3 linked regions of the Drosophila melanogaster genome follow. The protein of the gene in region 1 interacts with the protein of each later gene in a pairwise test. Each region holds a gene or a part of one and is shown in the gene's direction. Other genes may lie near its edges. The genes, in order: Acp65Aa, CG42853 and CG9825.

Evidence for each region.
Region 2: the proteins of Acp65Aa (region 1) and CG42853 interact in a two-hybrid assay, tested with the Drosophila melanogaster proteins (one large-scale study listed by BioGRID).
Region 3: the proteins of Acp65Aa (region 1) and CG9825 interact in a two-hybrid assay, tested with the Drosophila melanogaster proteins (one large-scale study listed by BioGRID).

Annotation. Positions count from the first base shown.
Region 1 is NT_037436.4:6,151,447-6,154,802, reverse strand, and holds Acp65Aa (adult cuticle protein 65Aa), read left to right. Parts: upstream 1-2,057; 5' UTR 2,058-2,123; coding exon 2,124-2,135; intron 2,136-2,216; coding exon 2,217-2,522; 3' UTR 2,523-2,753; downstream 2,754-3,356. Other genes in the region: Lcp65Aa, read right to left, coding at 3,162-3,356.
Region 2 is NT_037436.4:18,120,398-18,123,713, reverse strand, and holds CG42853 (uncharacterized protein), read left to right. Parts: upstream 1-1,724; 5' UTR 1,725-1,786; coding exon 1,787-2,279; intron 2,280-2,336; coding exon 2,337-2,698; 3' UTR 2,699-2,782; downstream 2,783-3,316. Other genes in the region: CG7341 (uncharacterized protein), read right to left, coding at 2,824-3,316.
Region 3 is NT_033778.4:22,835,527-22,839,286, forward strand, and holds the start of CG9825 (uncharacterized protein), read left to right. Parts: upstream 1-1,834; 5' UTR 1,835-1,909; coding exon 1,910-1,931; intron 1,932-2,195; coding exon 2,196-2,332; intron 2,333-2,389; coding exon 2,390-3,463; intron 3,464-3,530; coding exon 3,531-3,755; 3' UTR 3,756-3,760. Other genes in the region: CG12490 (uncharacterized protein), read left to right, coding at 1-733, 815-1,021.

The DNA of each region.
Region 1 (3,356 bases):
CCATCGATCACAGCCAGATTAATTATGCAAAGCCAGCATGATAAATGCAGCTCGATGCAGATGCCCTCGAAAAGCTGCGGAAAAGACCCAAATAATAAATATTATGCAGCCACGAATCAGATCCATTTTCAAGGGCCCCGAATGCCCTCAAGTTCAATTTGTAGGCGGACTGGGTAAATAAATCAGGCTGAAATTTCATGGAAACCACATTGTATATGAACTTGCTTAGTATTAAACTTAAGCGCTTAAGTTTGATGTTTCATGTGACATTTTATTTGTAAAGATTTCAATCATGCAAAAACCCATCGTTTTTTCTCTTCTTTAATATACTTGTCTTTCTCGTTCAATTAACATATTAACAACTTTTCCATTTGCGGTCTAATCAGAAAATTATAGTTACACATTTGACTAACAATAAGTAATTTTCACACTGTATTAATGTAATGCAATTTTGCTGAATAAACAATGACAACAGAAATTTGTTGAGTCTGCTTTTGCTTTTGATTGCAAAGACGCTTTGCTTATTTGATGCGTTCTTTACATGTTATATGGACAATATTATTTGATTGATAACATTCCTCGGATGTCACCAATTCCATGATTTTTAACGAGCAAGTTAAGAATGGCAAAATGCCAAATTGCAGCTGCCAAAAAATCAACCAAAATGATGTGATTTTCAACGACATTTGAGGAAATGCCAGTATCAGTGCACAACACCCTGTCGATGGGTCAGACATTAAGTCACAATTGGCACAATTCAATTCAAGTGGAGGAGGAGGCTGGGGCAGAACCGTGGTTGACCAGAGGCCGACCGATAACCAAAGTTAAAACCCGACTGACCGGCTTGAAAGATCCGCTGCTGGGGCTTCTTCATCGGCCTGCTAGCGGTCAACGAAGGTGGCATAAATTGGCAAGCACCGGCGACGGCGACTTAAAAACTAAATTAAAAAAAAAATGCTAAAAGTACAACAAAAAGCAAGAGTCAGAGATTTAAATTGCATGCGAGCCGTAGTTGTAGGTTATTCGATGTATTTTTTATATATATTTCCAACTGCTTTTGGCTCTTGTTACCGGGCAGGCACATCAATCGAGCGCTGTAAAGGCCGTTGCATATGCCAAAAGTCAACCTGCGGTTCCATCTCCATCCACAGCCTCATCCATCGTGCACTTTGGCCATCACACATGGCTCAGCTCGTGTTCTTCGTGTCCGCGGCTTGAACTTGCTGCCCTGCCAATTGGCGGCGACAGCACTTGAACTTAGTCTCTTTTGGGCCACCAATATGTCGTCGATTTCGGTTCGATCTGGGCCCATCTGACGAGCTGTTCTGGTTATTGTTTCCCATAGTTCTTGGCCCGGTATTTCCCCGTAGCTGCCCAATCAAACCGCAACCTTTTCCCCAATGCATCTGCTTGATTCATGAACTTTTTCGAGTTTTCTAAAGCTACCAGTCGGCACTGACAGAAAATGTCAGTACATCTTAAATGTGGTATTATATTCAAGTAATTGTTTTGTTTATTTCAATTAAGATTTAAGTACTTAATGAGTTGCACTAAAACTTCGAAAGGTGGTTTTAGTGTGGGTGTAAAACGAAAGATATTCGAATGATTAAGTGTTATAGGTTTAAATAAATATTTTTTATGTTCTAACTACATTAGTTTTAACATGCTTATTTTTATGTTTGGTTTCTTGTTAAAAATATGAAGACATATTGATTGTGGATAACTATTCTCACAGAATCGCCCTGAAACTTAGAATGCTTTTTCGAGTGTGGGTGAAGAGCAATAATACCTTTCGGATGAGTACACCGCTGCACAAAGCCGCTTTAAATGTTACTTGTCGCAGCGACTTTGGCGACTTTGGTGCAACGCTGGCAATTGAAAAACAGCACAAAAAAAACAAAAACAAAATGGAAATAGTGGAAAACATTTAGCCGGCGACCGCCAGAGCTGCTGAACTAGCGAGCTGCTTGGCTTCTTCCACAATTGTGCAAATTTATGACGTTTGCAAATGCAGCCGCGAGTGCAGTATAAAATGCAGTGGACGCCGATGCAACGCCACCATTAGACAACTGCCAGTTTGTCCAGCCGCATAGGAGAATCTGCAATTTCGAGAACCGCTCAACATGATGAAATTGGTAGGTGAACTTGGATAAACGAGGCGCACCATGCCCAACCAGGATACGCAAAAGGATACCTAATCTCTTACCGCCTTGCAGATGCTAGTCGTTGGCTCGATAGCCCTTCTCCTGGCCCTGGCCAGTGCCCGGCCGCAAAATGATGTGGAAGTTCTTGAGTACGAATCGGAGAACACCGGCCTCGGCGGCTACAAGTTCAGCTACAAACTGAGCGATGGCACCAGTCGAACAGAGGAGGGCGTGGTCAACAACGCGGGCACCGACAACGAATCCATATCCATTCGGGGATCCGTCACCTGGGTGGCTCCCGATGGCCAAACCTACACCATTAACTTTGTGGCCGACGAGAACGGTTTTCAGCCGGAGGGTGCCCATCTGCCCAAGTAGACCTCCGCTTTCGAGGAGATCCTGTAAATACCACCTTCCCGAATGAACCCACAATTCCAACCAACCAGCCATACAGTGAGGTGCTAAGGTCCTGTCCGGAGGAGCTGTCCCTTGTCCCGTGGCAGCCAATCGGTCAGTCAGTTAGTAAGTCGATCAGTCAGTCAAGTCAGTGTCGTGCATTGTTTTCTATTTTCCTTGTTACTCGCATTAAAGCCGAACTTTCGATTCTCGAAAAAAATATGTTTTCTTTGTGGAACCCATAAAGTAAGTCACCAGTTCTGGGAAGGGTCATTCAAAATATGAAACTGCACTAGATAACTTTCCTTTATAATTATAACGAAGTACCAGAGTTATTTTCTATTTTATCGTATTTAGCTATGAAAATTCACACTTTTATTTCTTTTGATTCAAAATGATCAATATACAAGATGTTCCATCTAAAAAATTTACGAAGGTACTAATCTTAAAAATATTTTTAAGGAACATAACAATTGGTTTTATTCTTTATTTAAACTGAGCTACGATAAAAGGTTATTCAGTATTATGGTTTCTGAGCCTATTTCGATTTAATGACTTGTTTTTCCAATTGATTTCTAGTTTTCAACTAGAAGACCTTTTTAATTACCATCATACACCGATTTATAGGTGGGGAATATCCTCGCCCTGGGGTTGGAATCCGTTCTCATCGGCCACGTAGCTGATGGCATGCGTCTGTCCGTCGTCTCCTACGAAGCTGAAGGATCCGGCCACCTGCAAGGCATCCTCCTCGGGACCAAGGCTCTTCAGGGAGCCGTGCTGCTCCTGCTTGGTGCCATCGCTTGTCTCAAATTTGTA
Region 2 (3,316 bases), about 12 Mb from region 1:
TGCCGTGCCCTAGCGACCTTTTACATTTTAGGCATTTGCATGGAAATGGCCATCATTTTGTGACAGGAGCCAAAGAAACTCAATGCAGTTTTAAGTAATTTTATGTGTATTTGTTTTAATTTACATTCAAAATGAACGATAAGATTTTCTGGCCAATTTTCTGCCTTGTCCTCTGCATCTTGATGCATTGACAACTTGTCAAACATTCTAATATCCTGTACAGCTTGTGATGTGAGCATTATGGGGGAATTTGGTTTAATTAAACTGCATTCATACATGTGCAAATACATCGATTTTGCTGTTTGCATATTAATTCCAGTAATTCTAAATGAAGACGGCAGAAATTACGAGGATTTCTCAAGTAATCTCAAATGGGTGATGAACAAATGTCTATTACAAATGGGAATAGTTGGACTGTTAAACAGGATTAATATATTGGAAATATTTGTTTTACGACAAACTGAAAGGTTTTCATTTTATATTCATCATATTTTGTTGAATCTACTATTTTCTTTTAAAGTTTTTTATATATAACATATACTACTGTTATTAAGTGGACCCTTTAGCAATTGCGAGCGATCAAAAGCTTTTGAACGATTGATTTAAATTATTCCGATTTTAGTATTCTTTTCTCTACCCTCCCCAAAAGTCATTTATTTTCTGAATCTTGAGGGTGGAAAGTTAAACCACTCGATGTCATTTTGACGCCAGTGACTTTTTCCCGTATTTGCCCAAAATATTAGCGTAATGCCTTTGACAAATCAATTGGCAAGCGATTGACTTGGCAGACAGAAGGCTGAGTGTCATTAACCACACCCTCAATGGGCGTTGGTCACACCTCGTGCCAAAATTATTTGCCCAGGATGCTCCAAGAATTGGAATAAAAGACCTTGTTGACGGTGCGGATCAAACGCGAACGAAGCTGTGACAAAGAGATCTTGAAAAGCGTTCTGTTTGACTTAACAATCGTTCAAGTAAGGGATCAAGTAGAAAATATACGACCAGTAATTCTTAATTTTCAAAAACATAAATTGCCTATGGTTAGAGAAATAGGTACAAAAGCAGAAGCTAAAATGAATTTATTATCACCGATTACAGAAATAGAATATGAAGTTAAATATCTTGCGATAGAAAGGATAGCTCAAACTCAATCAAATTATGTATCTGCGAAAACCCATTTACAACCCCAAGCAAAGACAAAGCAATTTATGAATAATTTGCATAATTCATGTAAAAGGATATTTTTAAACAGATGACACGAATTGGCAACAGGTGCTTTTGGCGGTTAAATGTTGGGATCTTTCTTGTATCGGTGGTACTTGACATGCATCTCGTATTATATAGCATATAGATGTATATAAATATATATATTTATATACGAGCTCCTCAACTGGCAGCTACTCAGTTAGTGGTGGTAATTTCAATAATTTCCACATTATAATTTAATAATGTGTGGATGTGAAACAAGCTGCATGCTTAATTTAAACTTTTCAGCTTTAATAGTTCACAGACTCTCGACGTTTATACGGACGGACAGACTGACACAGCCATAAGTATATATTGTACATACATATAGACTAGCCCATCAATCCTGATCAAGAATATAAAGAATCCATCTGAAAGGTAAACCTTTCAACAAATCTAGTACTCTACGCGTGATGGGTATAGAAAACAAATATAATCTAGTATTCGAATAGTTTACTGTCGTTGCAATCGTATCCAAGTTTTTGTAATTTGTATATCTTCTCAGTACTAAAGGTCTTAAAAACTCAAAAAAAAAAAAAATATGGCCACAAGCGCGAACTCTGTTCAAGTTTCTGGAGCCGGTGCGGAGGTAAACGAAGCTAAACTCATCTGCATCTGGGAGGGAATAACTGAGCTGATCCTGTGGCGCAACTGGATAAAGTCGATGCTTGTATTCGTAATGCTACAGACCATAATTTATGATCTGCTTTCTGAACCGCTTGTGTTCGTGGTGAGCGTATGGGCTTTGATTATCATGGTCATATCAATGGGGTACCGTTTTTTGGTACAGTACACTAATACCCATATCCAGAACAACAGCTATCCGAAATATCTTGACATAGACCTAAGAATCTCCCAGGAGTTATCTAAGCAACTGGGTGTTCTAGTTTCAACCAAAGTTGTTGCGTTTCTAAATAATCTACGAGAGATATTACTAGTAAAGAGCTTTTCGAAATCATTCAAGTGGTTTGGCCTTCTCCTAATAATTAGCAAACTTGGAAAGCAGATTAACTTTCTAATTGTTGGCCAATTAGGTAAGTCTATCATTAATAAATAATGAAAGAAAATAACAAAATTCATTCAAATATCAGGGCTGTTTCTACTCTTCACAATTCCCAAAATGTGTGAGATGAATAGACGTTCATCAAATATTGTACAACTTCCTAAATTTAATAAACAATATCAAATTACCAAAGTAAACGCTTCGACCGAAACCCAGAATGCATTGGACATGGAATCCTTAAAAGAGTGCAACGAGGACACCATAAAGCTAATTGAAAAGCAACCAGAAGGGATGGATCTCTCACTCGGCTGTGATATTACCAAGGAATCCCAGAATGCGGCTGATGATCTTAAAGCCTTTAAAGTAAAGGAGGAAATAGACATTGATGCTTTTGAGCGACTTGCCGATTCCTGGTCCGACGAAGATACACTTACTGATCAAAAAAATTAATTCAAGACAATTCAAATAATTTATTTTTATATATTGTGAAGCGTTTGGATAAATAAAACTCCTAGGGGCACTGTGCGGAACAACAGCTACACGACTTGCTTATTCTAATAGGGAGATACTTTAACCTAATTCGAACTACTGCTTTCGTCGCCATCGTTCACAAATTCAAAGGCCCTTCTGGACCGGAAAGCGTGATAGGGTCCTTGCTTCGGCTGTCCTGCTTGAAATTCACTCCTAATCCTTGAGACCACTGCACCACTCTGCGGTGAATAGTTTGCCTTGAAGATCTTTAGGAATGACGGAATGGGAGGCACAATGCCATCCGTATGAAACTGAACAATCCCCTGGATGTGTTGAGGTCGCAAGAGGCTGCATAGCTGCCGAAGATGCATCCTGGTCGGAGTCGGTGTCCACTTTAGTTCCTTTAGATCCAAGGAAACTACCTTTTGATAGTGATTAAAGTCCGTCGGGCAACCGCTGACGAAAACCCTTGGTACATAATTTTCCTCCAGAAAACGCTCCAGATCGATGCTAAGGCACTCATAGCTTTTTGCAATGTGGTCGCCCAAATGAATATGCCCGCGAAGACTTGTGTGTGCCAATCTCCATAACATTTCC
Region 3 (3,760 bases), on another chromosome or scaffold:
TGCCATGTTCTTGAGCGGAATGATAGCCAAAAGTGCCATTGGTTGGCCAGGAATATCATATGTCTCCGCAGGATTAGCCTTCGCCTGGTGTGCCATTTGGTTCGTTTTTGCCGCTGACAATGCAGTGGAATCTCGTTACATAACCCAGGAAGAACTCCACTATATCGAATCGTCTCTGAAGCACAATGAGGACTATCACAAGACCGTAATTCCCGTACCATGGATGGCGATTTGGACCTCGGCACCATTTCTTGCTCTTACGCTGACGCGTTGTTGCGCGACCTGGGGTCTGAGCACCCTCCAGGCCCAAATCCCAACTTATATGAACGGAGTTCTGGATATGGACATGAAAAGCAATGCATTCTTTTCGGCATTACCATTTCTGGCCATGTGGATTATGTCGTATGTGTACCTGATAATCGCCGATGTTCTGCTCGCCGGAAACAGGCTGAGTTTAACGGCCCTCCGGAAGACCTTCAACTCGTTGGCCTTCTGGATTCCTTGTGCCACTTTGATTGGAATCGGATTCCTGGATCAGGAGCAGAAGAACCTGGCAATTGCTTTGATGACCATCAGTGTCGGTGTCAACAGTGGAGCAACAATCGGAAGCTCCTTGAACACCATAGATCTATCCCCGAATCATGCGAGTATTCTAATGGGAATCTTGAATACGGCTGTTACTGTAGTGCCTATAGTAACCCCTTTGATTGTTGGAGTTATTGTTCATGAAGACGTAAGTTTGCACTGTTAGTGTTTATAAACAGGGCAGTGATAAATAAGTATAAATAAGAAGACTTTCTGTTGATTGTTTCAGGATAACCGTGCTGAGTGGCAGATAGTGTTCATAATTGCGGCAGTACTTTTTTTTGTCGGAAACTCGGTGTACCTATACTTTGGAACGGCTGTTTCACAACCCTGGGATGCTGAAGACTACCTCACAGTAAAGGTGCCAGAGCTAGCTAAAGTTCCAGCTATCCATGAAGCTGGTAAAGGTATTGATGACCTTCCACGAAGTCCTTGAATTGAAGTTCTATCGATAGCACTTAAGTCTTCAGTTAACATAGAAACTATTTAAAACAACAAAGCAATCAAAATAATTTAGAGTATTATTATTAAATTTAATAAGATTTAAGATCTACATCAGTACATTTCATTTGTTTATTAAACGTATAAGTAAAACGATTTGTTTGAATTAAAATGTTTGAGCGTTATTTGCTTATCAAAAGTCGTCAAATTTACCAAAGGTGCGGCCATAAATCAATCCAATAATGGTATGGCAGTAACTACTCTTGATATTACCAATTGATTTTGGAACGCCACACGACCAGGCAATGCTGTTCTAAACAACCTCGTTTAACAGTAGAAAAGGAACTGCAGGTAGGATATTTTCGTCAAGATATCTAAAATTAACTATTAAAGGTGCAAAACCTTGGCTTCTTTCTTGACTAAGTAACCTGAAGGCCGAAATGCCCACCTATTCGAAAAAGGGTTCTCGATATGGCCATGAAAAAGCAATGCATTCTTTTTGGCGCTAACATTTTAGGCCATGTTGCTTATGTGGCATCTATCTTTTACCGAATCGTGCCAGAATCCTTACTAGAATTGTAGAAATGGATGAAAATAATGATTTATTGATTGATTTACAATATTCTGACTAATGACATAATAACTAGTTTGTAAAGTACAACAATTTTTTAATGACGCTTTTTAATTCAATGGTTAAATTCGCCCGCTGTATGACCTTATCACCTGACGTGTCGTATCAGATAAGCAACATTTGGCTTATCGTCTAATTCAATTTGGATTTAAATCCACTCTATGTTCGTGGTCTCACTCACTTAACTTCCCACAGTGATTCCGATCGGTCGTTTAAAAGAAGTCAGGAGGTGTTTTGTTGACCAAATCAAAAATGACGGCCGAGACAAACAAAGGTGCGTGAAAGGAAATCCTTCGGTTCGGATAAGAGTTTGTGAATGAATTGACACCCAACGAACTTGACACAGTGGAAAACCCCTTCATGGCTCAGACCTTGCACTCCGTCTGATTTCTGGGCTTTTCGCACACGCATTGAGTGGTCATAAATTACTACAATAATGGCGCGATAACCGAGTCTCAAGAGCAATTCAGACTTATTTACCCAACTGTTTGTAGACAGGAAGTAACAGTGATAATACCAGTTCGTTTTGTTATTGCAGGACCCGTTCTGGGAATGAGGCATGTCCAGGCGCTACTGATCTTCCTCAATATAACTACCGTATTCATAGGCCGCCTAAATGTGGGCGTGTCTGTGGTGGCAATGACCAATGCGGAAACCACGAACCCGAACTTTCCGGTAAGAATAGGGATCCTATCAAGAAAATACCACTTAGCTTACTAGATTCTCTACTAGGAATACGATTGGACGGAGGCAGAGAAGTCGTACATTCTCTCCAGTTTCTTTTGGGGCTACATCCTAACGCAATTCCTTGGAGGTTATCTCTGCAAGCGCTTTGGAGTCAAGAGTGTAATGTTTTGGGGTGTCTTCGGATCTGGTGTCTGCAGTGCTTTGACGCCGCTGTTCATCGGATTTGGAGAATGGCAGGCCTACTGTGGAATTCGAGTTCTAATGGGATTGGCCCAGGGAGTGGTATTCCCCTGCATTCATCAGCACCTGGCTAAATGGTCACCGCCCGAGGAAAGAAATCGGTTGGGAGCTCTGAGTCACACTGGAATCGAGTGCGGCAATGTGAGTGCCATGTTCCTGAGCGGAATGATAGCCAAGAGCTCCCTGGGATGGCCCGGAATCTCATATGTCTCGGCTGGAGTGGCCTTCTTCTGGTGTACATTATGGTTCGTCTTCGCTGCCAACCATCCTACGGAATCTCGTTTCATAGGAGAGAACGAACTGATCTATATTGAGTCGTCTCTAAAGCACAATGAGTCATACCACGCTACCATTATACCCATTCCCTGGAAGGCAATTTGGACGTCGGCACCATTCCTGGCCCTGCTCATAGTACGATGCGCTGAGAACTGGGGACTGAGCACTCTGCAGGCCGAGATCCCATCCTATATGAACGGAGTCCTCGACATGGACATGAAGAGCAATGCGTTCTTCTCGGCACTCCCATTCTTGGCCATGTGGTGCATGTCGTATATTTACCTAGTCGTAGCCGATGTGCTCTTGGGCAAGAACTCGGTGTCCTTGACGATTTTGAGAAAGACCTACAACTCCATTGCCTTCTGGATTCCTGCTGCCACTTTGGTGGGCATTGGCTTTTTGGACAAGGAACAAAAGAACTTCGCGATTGCTCTGATGACCATCAGTGTGGGCGTGAATAGTGCTCAAACCATTGGCAGTGTTTTAAACACAATTGATCTATCGAAAAATCACGCTAGCATTCTAATGGGAATTGTGAATACAGCGGCGAATTTCGTGCCCATAGTCACTCCTTTAGTTGTTGGATGGATTGTTAAGGAAAATGTGAGTGCTTGCAAAAGTTGGTAGGAAGTAAAGATTTTTAATTGCTTATTGTATCCTTTCCTTTCAGTCTGATCGCTCCCAATGGCAGATCGTGTTCATCATTGCCTCCGTAATCTTCTTTGTGGGCAATTGCATTTACTTGGTGTTTGGCACGGCCGAAACTCAGCCCTGGGATGCCGAGGACTATCTGCAGACACAGAACCCGGAACTTGCCAATAGACCACCTATGCAGGCGTTATCCTTTCCAATTAACGAAAATTCCAAAGAGAAAATTAATAGTAAAAGCCATTAATTCTT